Linked DNA regions of Arabidopsis thaliana. The protein of the gene in region 1 interacts with the protein of each later gene in a pairwise test. Each region holds a gene or a part of one and is shown on either strand. Other genes may lie near its edges.

Region 1 (4,258 bases):
ATGTATATATATAGTATACTAGTGCTAATCTCAGTCACGTGATTGTATTTCCTTAAATAAAATAACAGAAAGAGAATATTAATTTGAGTTAAACAGCTTCCACAAGTAGTACAACTGTCTGTACAAGCAAGACTCAAGTTTGAAGGAAAGTGGGATTTTTTTTTGTTACTTTATATATTGTTTTAATTTGTCTTAATTAGTTTAGGAACAATAATAAAGACTATATTAGGCAACATGCACGTACGTTTGTGTGTTTTCGAGATCCCAATGGTAGCAACTGGCAAGTAGCAACATACTAAAATAAATAGCATTGTTTAATTATGCGTACAAACGAAATTGGCTACATTTTTAGTTGCTTCACCACCTATACTTGATCATGGATTAGCTCGATTACTTGGCTGCAGGATGTGATATTTGATATTATTGTAAAGTGATTTAAGAGTAACAATAATCGATTGCGTCTAAGATTCAGTTGACAAACTAAATTGTTTTACGTTCCAACTCACATCACTTTGATAACCTGTAAATCATGATTTATCTTTTCACATCTGCGTTTTCATAAGAAAGTTTGAAATGTATAAAAGATGCATGTAAACCAGTAAATGATGATAATGACATATTTAGTTTAGAAAACTATATGTAGTGATGTTAATATGGGCTAACCCACCCCAATTAAACCCATCCCATTTAAACCCACTCCATTTAACTTTAAACTCATATAAATCCATTTATTTTTGAAACCCATTTAACCCTACCCATTTAAATTTAGTAAATCCATGTGAACCCATTTAAACCAATTAAGTGAGATATTGCCTTTTATTAATTAATTCATAAACTTAATAGATAAATAACAACAGTCCATAAACATTAGCTAAATCTGAAATATTTATAATTTACTAAAATATAGATTTCAATAACATATAATGATAATAATATTTTCAAATTTGGCAAAAAATATTTTTTTTTGTGATTTTGGCGGGAAAACTTGATTTTACGGTTTTACGGGAAAATGTCGTTTACGGTTTTGGCGGAAATACGTGATTTTACGGTTTTGGCGGAAAACACTTTTTGTGATTTTGGCGGGAAAACGTGATTTTACGGTTTTGGCGGGAAAACGTGATTTTACGATTTTGGCGGGAAAACGTGATTTTACGATTTTGGCGGGTAAACGTGATTTTACGGGTTTGGCGAAAATACGTGATTTTCAATTTTGGTGGGAAAACGTCATTTTACAGTTTTGGCGGGAAAACGTGATTTTACGATTTTGGCGGAAAAACGTCGGTTTACGATTTTGGTGGGAAAATGTGATTTTCGATTTTGGTAAAAAACGTGATTTTGGTGGGAAAACGTAATTTTATGGGTTTTAGCGGAAAAACGTGATTTTACGTTTTGTTTTAAATATATTTAGTATTTTGCTCTTTATTTTAGTTATAATTAAGTTATCTACTTTTTAATAAAAATAACTAATATAAAATAAAACATAAATGGGTACCCATTTGTTTGTGGGTAAACCCATTTATTAAATAGGTTTAATTGGGGTAACCCATTTAACCCCATTTGATATTTTTCTCTAAATGGGTTTAAATGGGTTATTTTTTTTTGCACATACCCATTTAACAAATGGCTATTCAATGCCCAAGTTAACATCACTAACTATATGCTTATTTCTACTAGCTCTTCACCAAGACCATCGTGGAAACTTTGATCGACAGAAAAAACACCTCAGCTCTTTTTTCAAATATTTCAGCGACATTTTAGTAGTTATGAGGAAACAGTAGTAGTTAGGCATGGACTAACATATCAATTGGCGAGACAGCAAAAAGACAATTAGACAAGACACGGCACGAAACATACATTATAGACATAGAGTCTACGACCTAACACGTTTGCGATGCTCTCTCTTATTACCTAACAATTCGCCTGCTTACCTATTTCCTTAATTACATCCCACCATTTTTCACTTCCAAACTTCAATTTGTTACGGCGTAACGTAAATGATCTTGTTACTGGAATACACAAAACGTATAAATTTTCTTAATATTCTGATAACATTTCTTTCTTTCCAATTATGACTTTTAAAAACCACTACCAAAACTAATACAACCTCATATTTACTGTCTTTCCTAGAATACACAAAAATACACGTTATAAGATTTCCTATAATGACATGAACTGATGAGATTCTAGCCCTAATCGTTATTATCAATCAGTCTATGAGTTTAATAATGTAATCTTATCATCATTACCCGTAGAAACGCATTAAAAGAAGCTTGAAATTGACTATAACTAGTAGTAGCCTAGTTAGTAGGACTCTCAATTTATGATTAAACCGGTTTTCGATAACCGTTTTCGATAACCGGTTTTTCAGAAATGAGTGTGATTGATTCGGTTAGCAGAGGAAAAAGAGAGAGGTAGGAGAAAGAAGATAATCGCCGTTGCTGACGTCACCGCCGGTAATCAAAAATCTCTCCTTTAACCGTAATTTCTCTTTTAACTTTACCAAAAATCCGATCCAACAGAAATTCTTATCCTAAGCCTCTTTCTCCACCGCGCACGTTAGCCTCCTCTCTTTCCCACTCCGAGATGGAGACGACGCCGGAGACTCAGTCGAAGACTCACCGTCTACCGGCGGGAAGAGAGGATTGGTGGAGCGAAGACGCTACGGCGACATTGATCGAAGCTTGGGGAGATCGTTACGTCAATCTCAACCGGGGAAATCTCCGGCAAAACGATTGGAAAGAAGTCGCCGACGCCGTCAATTCAAGCCACGGGAATGGCCGGCCAAAGACCGATGTACAGTGCAAAAACCGGATCGATACGTTGAAGAAGAAGTACAAAACTGAAAAGGCGAAACCTTTATCGAATTGGTGCTTCTTTGATAGACTCGATTTCTTAATCGGTCCGGTTATGAAGAAATCGTCCGGTGCTGTTGTTAAATCGGCGTTGATGAACCCTAATTTGAATCCTACTGGATCTAAATCAACTGGTAGCTCTCTCGATGACGATGATGATGATGATGATGACGACGAAGAAGATGATGATGATGCGGGTGATTGGGGATTTGTGGTGAGGAAGCATCGTAAAGTTGAAGATGTAGATTCGAGTGAAGGATCAGCCTTTAGGGAGCTAGCGAGATCGATTCTGAAGTTAGGGGAAGCGTTTGAGAGAATCGAGGGGAAGAAGCAACAGATGATGATTGAATTGGAGAAACAGAGAATGGAAGTTGCAAAGGAGCTTGAGTTACAACGAATGAATATGTTGATGGAGATGCAATTGGAGCTTGAGAAATCTAAACTTGGGAAACGAAGAGCTGCTTCAGGTAAAGTTTTCATTTTTATGTGTGTTTTGTTGTGATTGATGAGTTTACTGAAACTTCAGTTGTGCTTTGTTTGTTGTATAGGTAAGAAGTTGTAGGATTGTAGATTGTGGAGGAGTTACTGATGTGAAGCAAGGAGCAATGGTTGGATCTAAAGCTCATACGATTTGGAGAAGATGTTATTATTATTGATCTTTAGGTTTTCTTAAGTTATAGCGCGATGCTTTTTTTCTTCTTCTTCTTTTTCATTCTCTTTTTTAGCATTGTAGAGTTACATTGGTAGTAGCAATGCGAATTACCAAAAGAACTCTCATAGTATCTGACATATCAAGATGTACTTTTGTGAAGTATCAATGTATGATGGTTTGTGTATCAGTGTCTGCAGTTCCAAATTGTGCTCATCTCTCTTTCTGTGATCTGCAATTACTCTTTTGCTTAGGCAGGTTTCAGGAATGTGTACAGACTTAACAAGATGCGTAGAACGGTTCTGAGGAGAACTCTTATCAGAGTCATTCATAATTCAGTTTGGAATTTGATCAAACCCACCAAGCTATTGATTTGGATGTTTGCTTATGTGACTTTGCTGCACTCTGGAATCTCCAGGACAAGACTCTTGTGGCCTGAGGGAGACGAGTTGACACATGAGGCTGTATTATTGGAGCCTCAAAAAAGAACATCATAGAAGCATATATATCAATGTTTCATGTTTGGTAGAATTTCGGGATGACATAAGCATGTGCTCTCCTATTCATACCTGACTTACAAAGAAGCTCTTCATCTAAAACACCTCACTTTACTCACCTTGGCCTACCACTTGGTCCAAAACTGGTAAGGACTCTGACCTTCCAAGGCTCATCTTGTACCTGAGTTATCTCATCGCATGTGATGGTTACTTTTGAAGTTAAAACCCTTTTTCATACATATGATGAAGTAAGCATCTGA
Region 2 (3,843 bases), 3.2 Mb from region 1:
TAGGATAATAGGATATGATGGAATTTGGTTGGGGAACAGTGATAACTTACGCTTGCTTCCGGCGCCGGGAAAGTTGGAAAACCTACAAAGTACAGAAATGGATCTGGGCCTTGAAGTGGGCTTTTTATTAAAGAAAAAAATACATCTCCGTTATCAATCACCATCTTCTTCTATCTACAAATTAAAGAAGGTAACAACAGAACGTGGTGGATCATGTGGTTAGGCATTAATTATTTGCTTTGTTTCGCCGTTTTGGTAACACACAGACACAGTTCCGGTAAGAGCTTTTGCAGCCACTCTTTATAGTTATTTAGAATTGGCGATCGAATCAATCTCACTCCCTCCCTCCCTTAAGTCTTGTTGAATCTGCTGAATTGTTTTATAAAGAGTTACTTTGGCAAAATGGAAAATCCGGCGAAGAGAGTGTTGATGACATCCAACGGCGACGAGGTGTCCCGAAACATCGCTTTCCATCTAGCCAAACACGGTTGCAAGTGAGTCTCTCATTTTGTCTTCTTTCCTCCTATCCTGTGTTTCTTCTTCTAGCCCCGATTTGTGTTGTGGTTGACTTTGGTGTCTATAGTTAACCTTCAAAAAATGCAATGTACTGTTGCTAGGTTGGTAATGATGGGAAATGAGGGTTCCCTAAGGAGCATTGTAGACAAGATTAGAGATTCCATTGAGGGAGCCTTCCCTGCCGATGTTATAGCACTCGACATGGAATCTGACTCTGAAGTTGCTTTTCATGCCGCTGTCCAAAAGGCATGGGAACTTTCCGGCCATTTCGATGCTTTTCTCAACTCTTATACCTACCAAGGTTTAATTTGCTTCTTGTTTTTCACTACCCTGCCTTTGATGCTCTTGTGTGTTGATCATTCCTTTATTCAACAATCTTTCTTTCTTGCAGGAAAGGTGCAGGACATTCTTCAAGTCTCTCAAGATGAGTTCCACAGAATCACAAAGATCAATCTCACCGCTCCATGGTTTCTCTTGAAGGCTGTAGCCACAAGGATGAAGGACCATGGATCAGGAGGCTCCATTGTCTTCATGGCCACTATCGCCAGCGGAGAGAGGGCGCTTTACCCTGGCGCTGATGCCTACGCTTCAACTTCTGCCGCTATTCACCAGCTCGTCCGGGTATGCATCCTAGCTCCTAATTAGACACATCGCGTTCGTAACTTGAATATGTTTGTTGATGATTGGGTTTCAGGCATCAGCCATGAGTCTCGGGAAGCACAAGATACGGGTCAACATGATCTCTAGAGGGCTGCATCTGGATGATGAGTATACAGCTTCTGTGGGAAGAGACCGAGCGCAGAAGCTGGTCAAGGACGCTGCACCCCTCGGCCAGTGGCTCAACCCGGACACAGACCTCTACTCCACTGTTATCTACTTGATCAGCGATGGCTCACGCTTCATGACAGGCACCACTGTCTTGGTGGATGGAGCGCAGTCCCTTACGCGACCCCGTCTCAAATCCTACATGTGATCAATGCCTAGTATTATTATAATTCTATGTTGTGTGTAAAAAGTGAATATGAATCAAGTTTGAATAACTATGGAGGGATGAATAATCCATGGAATCAATGATTATATACTTTTGACAAGTATAGAAGAAAGCAAAGAGCCAAAATAGTCAACAATCTCAACATCATTCGAGCTCATTGTTTATTGAATTCAATCAAGTTTGGTAGGTGAACCTCAAATACACGTGATATTGGATATTATCTTGGAAACCTTGCTAATCCAAATTGTAAATCAAATAAGAAAAGAATGATTACCTCAGAGATCTAGATGCATATTGATTCTTGACCAAGAAATATGTTTGAAATTTGAATCCATTGAACCAAAATTTGAAGGAGTTGCATATATAATAATATAAATCAGAATGATGTAGCCGCCACACCTTTTTGTTTCCACAAAACTCTTTTTCTGTGATGGATCCGCTAATGTAGCCATATTTTCAATATATATCACTTTCTCTGGCATCTTCGCTACCGTGTACGTCTCTCTTTCTCTCCCTCCCCTCCTTGGCTTTTTTCAAGTTCCCACCATAAACGCAGAGGGAGTTAAGAAATGGAGGATAGGAGGTGTGATGTGTTGTTTCCATGTTCATCATCGGTTGATCCTCGCTTGACAGAGTTTCATGGGGTCGACAACTCTGCTCAGCCGACAACATCATCCGAAGAGAAGCCAAGGAGTAAGAAGAAGAAGAAAGAGAGAGAAGCGAGGTACGCGTTCCAGACAAGAAGCCAGGTTGATATACTGGATGATGGATACAGGTGGAGGAAGTACGGCCAAAAAGCAGTCAAGAACAATCCATTCCCCAGGTACGTACTTAATCATCAATGAATGATACTGTATGCTTGCTATGGTGATCAAATAAGAGACTCATATACATACATGTAAAATATGAATATATATATATATAGGAGCTATTATAAGTGCACAGAAGAAGGATGCAGAGTGAAGAAGCAAGTGCAGAGGCAATGGGGAGACGAAGGAGTGGTGGTGACGACATACCAAGGTGTTCATACACATGCCGTTGATAAACCCTCTGATAATTTCCACCACATCTTGACACAAATGCACATCTTCCCTCCCTTTTGCTTGAAGGAATGATTAGAGGAATTGGATTGTAATATTTACTTTCCCAAAAACGTTGGGCTCACACCATCAGACCTTTACTTTTAAACTAGCAGCAACTCACATATCTCAAAAATACTAATCCTTATCTTTGTCTTTATGGGACCTTTGAATCCATCTGCTTTGGTGTCTTAGTCTCGGCTGCCCTGTAATCGAAAGTATATTCATCATCAAATTACCAAACATAAAGAAGCAATGATGAGTCTATCATCTACAAAAACAATGTTATGTATCCCAAACCTACCGATTATTCCAAAACTAGTGACAAGCTAAGGATATTGTGGAGATGAAGATGAGAAAGAGTACGAAAGCTAACTTTGAGGTTTCTTCTTGGATCCAATTGCGAATATGCTTCACGTTTCGCTTTAGAACGGAGGACGCTTTCTTTGTTAGGCCCATTAGCCTGGGCTCTCGTGTTTTTCATAATGTCAAGTCAGCCCAACAAGCCCAAATCTTTACAAAAAGAACCAAGGACCATGTCATCCGGAATATGGTGATATTATTGGATTATACCATTGGACCATTTAACACAAAAGCAAATATGCAACAGAATATATATAGATCACATAACAGTCAGAATCTTCTCAAAAGATATGCTTTCTTCCTTTTCTATTCTAGAGTGTTTTGATGACATCGGCACGAAGATAATGTTATTTTACAGATTTAGCTAATTAAGTCTTTCGTAATAATTATCAAACTCAAATTGTTGCGTTTTAATTTACCGCCGCCACAATACCGCACGAAGATAATGTTATTCGCTTGTGAATTTCTTTATATTAATCTCTCACGAATAAATTAATTCACATTCTTACATAAATCGAAACTTATCCACATTTTCTTGATTCTTTTCAAAAGTTATACGAAAAAGTTAGTTACACAAAATTTATTAAACACGGATAAAATAACGGTTCCTTAATCTCAACACTTTCACTTTTTTCCGAACCCATTGAATGGAAAAATGTTATGTTCTTTTTTTATATAGCAATTGGGAAAATATGTTTTGCAATGAGAAATTGTAGAGTTTGCGGCTTTGCGCCATCCATTATTTCATATAGAACTTAGAGAATAATATATCTATTAATTGAACTACAAGATATATCTTATAAATTTTCTCCGAGATATTTCTCATAAATCGTCCGTATCATCTGTCTACCGCGGAAGATAGATAATTAAGGAGCGTAAATATAGTGCGTAAGG
Region 3 (4,793 bases), about 14 Mb from region 1:
TAGAAAACTAAGAGAATTATAAAACAGGTAAGAACTTACCTTCCCCTTCACAATTTGCACAAACTAAACTGTTTGGTTTAGTGCCCTGAGGATTATTGTTTGCGGCCTATTGATACCACAGAATGAGATTTTGCATTAACGAAATGGTCAATGAAGTAAGCAAATTTTATAGAGAAGAGAAGAGTTTGGGAAAATTCTAACCTTAACTTCAAAACTTTGGGATCTTGAAGTCTGAAGCAGTTCTCTCTTCTGTACCAAGGAAGAGGTGTTATCATTAGTTGAGAAGAAGTGAGAAGGTTTAGGGTTTTTGCTTGGAGATTGGAAGCAAAAGGTAGGAGGAGAAGAGAAGAAGCATAGTGAATTCGCCATTTTCTGTTTTCTGATTCTTCTTACCCACTCGATAGCAAAGATAAGATGGCTCCTCTCACTTCTCTTTTTCTCAAGTGCCTATTTTACCAAAATACCATCATATTCTTTATCCAATCCAAACCAAAACCTATTAACCGGTTTTGTCTTTTAAACCCAATTTCACATTTTAGTTTCCATTAGAAAGCTTTTTTCTTAAAAAGAAATTTGATTTTTTTTGTTCTGTTTCTGTGTTTTTAGAATCTTAAGACAAAAGAAAATGACAATGGTTAGAGCTAATTTACTTATTTATCTCAAACGACCCATCAAGGCCATAACTTCCTGATCCTATGAACAACCATCAAAAACAAGAAATAGCCAAGGCCAAACCCACAAGGACATCAGAACGATGTATTAAAAAATACAAAACCAGAGTCCTTCATAAGTTGCCATGTCTTATAACTTGCGTTGCTACTCCATGTGGAGCCGTTCAAGACCTCATTCACTGGCTTTCAGCCGCTCTCCAAGTAGCCGAGAAGACCACGAGTCAGCCGCGCTAGCATACCTTGGACATGGCTTACTCACATTTGAGCTATTAAACATCAAAGGCTGCTGCGCTTGAGTCATTTCTGAGATATCTTGTGTCTGGGGATCAGGTTGTATTGGAAGGACAAGAACTGTTGCAGGAGGATGAAGAGTTGTAGCAGATTGTTGAAAGCCGGGGCCTTGGAAAATGGGAAGTCCTGGGAACTGAGATACACGTTCAGGATGTTGTTGTTGATAATGATGATGATGGTACTCGGGTGCAGGAGAGGTGTTCAAGTCAGGTTTCGACTGATTCGCTCTAGCTTCAATCTCGTTTTGTAGTTTCGAAATCTCAGTCTCAAGCACTGATGTTTCTTCCTTGAGCTCATTCTTCTCTGTGGTTACCTACACACAACACCAGTTTCCATCAACAAGACCATTTAGAAAAATACAAAGATGAAGTAACTTCTTGAAGCAACATTCGTCTTAGTTGTTGATTCACGTCACAGAATACATAAACACAATCAATGTGCATATAGAAATTGACTTACATAGCTAGATTCAGATAGGAGAGAAGCATGCTCCTTTCTAAGAGACTCAATTTGACCAAACACGTCCTTCAAGAATCGAGTAGCTTCGCATAGTATAGAAGCTTTCCCACTGTTCTGTTGATTCAGTTCTGCAACAAAGAAACATGTTCACAGTTAGATATCACAATCACATTCAAAATATCACAACACACTCGAGCAATTGTTCATTCAAATCTACGGAAAGATGAGAAATTTACCAAGAGTATCGGCTAATTCAATGAAAAGCTCATTCAAATGCTCACGCTTAAGCCTCTCACGAACGGCCTTGTTGATCCTTTTCGGTACTTTACCTTTTCTACATCTGTTTTATACACCAAACATAATCAATCCCCATAAATAAAAATAAAAGGTTCCATAATCTATTTCCAAGAATTGTCTCCTTAAGAATCACCTTTCATCTGCAGTAGCATTTGCTTCATCAGACGATGTAGAAGGAGTTTTCGATACCATCTTTGCTTTTATTACAGAACAAGATTCTCTGTCAAGTCACCTAAAATTTAGACATAAGATGATTAATCAAAAAGAACAGTGATCTTAATGAATCTAACAAATCATTCATCTTTATAATCAATCAATCACTCCTAATGTCAAATAAACACAAACGCACCAAGAAACATAGGAGCAGAAAAAAAAAAAAAACTTTCGTGTGATTTTTGATTCCTCAAAAACTGAAGCAAGTGTTTTAGATTCTGTCTTTATTACCCATATTCTTGTCAAATCAAATAGTGAAGAATAATTCTCAAAAATTACGGCTAAGTTCTCAACACAACAGATTCAGAGAAAAGAACTACCTTTCTTTCTCCGGTGAGAATCTCGTCGGAAACTGTAGACGATTAGGATTCGAAACGAGTAGAAGAAATAATAAGAGAATCTGAGAAAATGAAGAGTGAAATTGTTTTTTTTGGAGGAAGAAGGTCCGAAGTTGAGGAGGGCGTGTGGAGGCGCGTGGAGAGCACAGAAGAAGGTGGTGCGTTTAAGTGGACACGTGAGTTCGACATGTGCCTTTCTCTTTTTTACTTTTGTCTTCTTCTCTTACGTTGCGTGCCACTAAAGCTCATCTCTCATGGACACGTCATCGTATCTTTAATTAATAAAATAATAATATTAATCGAGTGGAAGAGTGGTTTAAATCGGGTAAAGTTCTATTAATGGAAATGTTTGTTGAGTGTAAATAACATTGTATTTTCTACAGATTAATCGGGTAAAAAGTTGTACTATCTGTTTAAGAATTTTATCGAGTAGATGAAAAGTAACATTTTCACAAAAATATACCGTAGAACACCAAAAAAAAAAAACAGGGGCATGTGGGGTCAACGTGAAGGATAATAAAGGCATGGAAACGCGCCGTCGAGAGCTGATGACGTGTCTGTCGTGTGTTTCCCACAAACTCTATTTATTGACGGTATGATGATTAGTATACACATTTTTAATGGCATAGTCAAATTCAGTGGGTGAGGAAAAATTGAAGATAGGAAATTAAAAAGAAATAACGAAATTATATTAATCTGCCTATTCCTCTTCTCCTTCATTTTGAATTCAAAAACCGAAATACTATATATAGTTTTGCGGTTCGAATGATGACTGTATTTTGTGATACGGAAAAAGTATGGGACGGTTCAAATAATAACAAAAATACATAGATATATATGTATATATAGAGATTTTTTATACTGTTACAGTTACGGTACGGTTTTGGGGGCGGTCTATGTCACCATTCATACACTGTGATTAAGAAACATACAAAAGGCGTTTTCTTGTTTTTTTATTAAAACTACAATACAGTTACCAATCAATACTTTTAACAAATTTGCGTTTTTCGAAAAAAAAAAGAAAAAAGTTTGCAATTTTGTCCTAAAAACAATACACTGGAATGCTTTTCAAAAGAAGAAAAATCATTTACCTAGTGTTTTTGCTCAAAACCGCATTCCAACAAAAAAATCGTTCATTACTCCATTACTTAAGCAAATTGTTATGTCCTACGTCCCAACCAAAAGTTTCTCAGCCTTTGCCTCTTCCATACACACATCCCTCGTTTATTACTCCATTACTTAAGCAAATTTTAATTTTTTTTCCATTAGCTTCCCCATTTAAATATATGTACAAAAAAAGAGAGTATATGTGTGCATCAGAATCACTAGTTACCTAGTGCATAAAAGAAAAAAATATACGTAGGACATAACAATTTGCTTAACTAATGGACTTTAATATATATATATATATATATATATATATATATATATATATGCAATAATTATAGTTTTATTCTTTTTATTTAATTAAAATCTAAGAAAATGTAATTACAAGAAATAGAAATATCATAATACTTATAGAAATTTTGACAATTATTATCCACTATAAGCTTATATAAGTTCTATAATCAATTTACTAGTAAAAAATTATGATTTTTTTTTCAATTTTTTATGATGAAACTATTCAACGAATTTAATAATATGTATGTTAAACTTTAAAAATGTATATTTTGATTTATTTATGTATTAATAATTTATAAATATATGTTATTGCTTATTTATTAACACAAAAATAATAATTAATTATTAATATATATATATATATATAATTTATAATCCGCACCGCAAATAATTTTTTCATCAATCAAACATTATTCTGTACCGCTTATTTTGTACAAACCATATTTGTCCCGCAAATATATTTTTCTCGCACGTACCGTAATTGAACTGTACTGCAATGTTATACCACTTTTCTCACATATTAAAAACCGAGGTTACCATTCGGACCATAATATATTTTTTCATCAATTGTTTGCATTATAAAAAGAAAAAAAAAAAGAAGAACAAATCGGAGGGTTCAGATTTCAGAAACAAAATACCGAACCGCTAGGTCGTTGGTTTTGCCGGTTCGTTTGCACCGGGATTTTAGAGCTAGACAGGGACCAAATAATTAAGCGGATCGTGGGTATTACCGGTCCGGGTCCGGAAAAACATCTGTTAGAAACTAATCTCGTTTGGCCCAAACCCAAAAAAGCTAGCTTCACGGCGTTTGTTGTTCTTCCTCGCTCTTCGCCGCCTTCACTCGCAGTCGCAGGTAAGCTTCTTCAATTCCCCTCTTAAATCAACTAACGCTTCCTAATTCCTCCTCTGGCTTCGTTCCTCTCCTTTTTTCCAAGGTTTGTGTCAATCTGAAATCAAAATGATCAAATGATCATGAACTTAATTGTAGAAACTTTAATTAGATTACTCGAAATCAAATTTGACCAATCTATCAGAAGCAACCTTTTTATTACGTTTCTTCATCTGAATAGGTCTGCCCAGTTGAATACATTACAAGGGTTATTTTTGTCTGAATGGAAACTAC

The links. Proteins that work in one complex are often made in the same cells at the same time.
Region 2: the proteins of AT3G11100 (region 1) and WRKY45 interact in binary tests that used the Arabidopsis thaliana proteins (3 or more experiments, as listed by UniProt).
Region 3: the proteins of AT3G11100 (region 1) and PYE interact in binary tests that used the Arabidopsis thaliana proteins (3 or more experiments, as listed by UniProt).

Annotation. Positions count from the first base shown.
Region 1 is NC_003074.8:3,475,646-3,479,903, reverse strand, and holds AT3G11100 (sequence-specific DNA binding transcription factor), read left to right. Parts: upstream 1-2,003; 5' UTR 2,004-2,583; coding exon 2,584-3,319; intron 3,320-3,400; coding exon 3,401-3,414; 3' UTR 3,415-3,717; downstream 3,718-4,258.
Region 2 is NC_003074.8:325,393-329,235, reverse strand, and holds WRKY45 (WRKY DNA-binding protein 45), read left to right. Parts: upstream 1-1,823; 5' UTR 1,824-2,076; coding exon 2,077-2,330; intron 2,331-2,432; coding exon 2,433-2,622; 3' UTR 2,623-3,284; downstream 3,285-3,843. Other genes in the region: AT3G01980 (NAD(P)-binding Rossmann-fold superfamily protein), read left to right, coding at 403-494, 618-1,137, 1,211-1,489. UniProt on the Arabidopsis thaliana protein: Transcription factor. Interacts specifically with the W box (5'-(T)TGAC[CT]-3'), a frequently occurring elicitor-responsive cis-acting element.
Region 3 is NC_003074.8:17,565,152-17,569,944, reverse strand, and holds PYE (basic helix-loop-helix (bHLH) DNA-binding superfamily protein), read right to left. Parts: upstream 2,820-4,793; 5' UTR 2,743-2,819; exon of another isoform or gene 2,741-2,742; intron 2,470-2,740; exon of another isoform or gene 2,252-2,469; intron 2,100-2,251; 5' UTR 2,068-2,099; intron 1,951-2,067; 5' UTR 1,911-1,950; coding exon 1,852-1,910; intron 1,762-1,851; coding exon 1,658-1,761; intron 1,550-1,657; coding exon 1,422-1,549; intron 1,276-1,421; coding exon 844-1,275; 3' UTR 560-843; downstream 1-559. Other genes in the region: AT3G47650 (DnaJ/Hsp40 cysteine-rich domain superfamily protein), read right to left, coding at 40-106, 202-369; AT3G47630 (translocator assembly/maintenance protein), read left to right, coding at 4,783-4,793.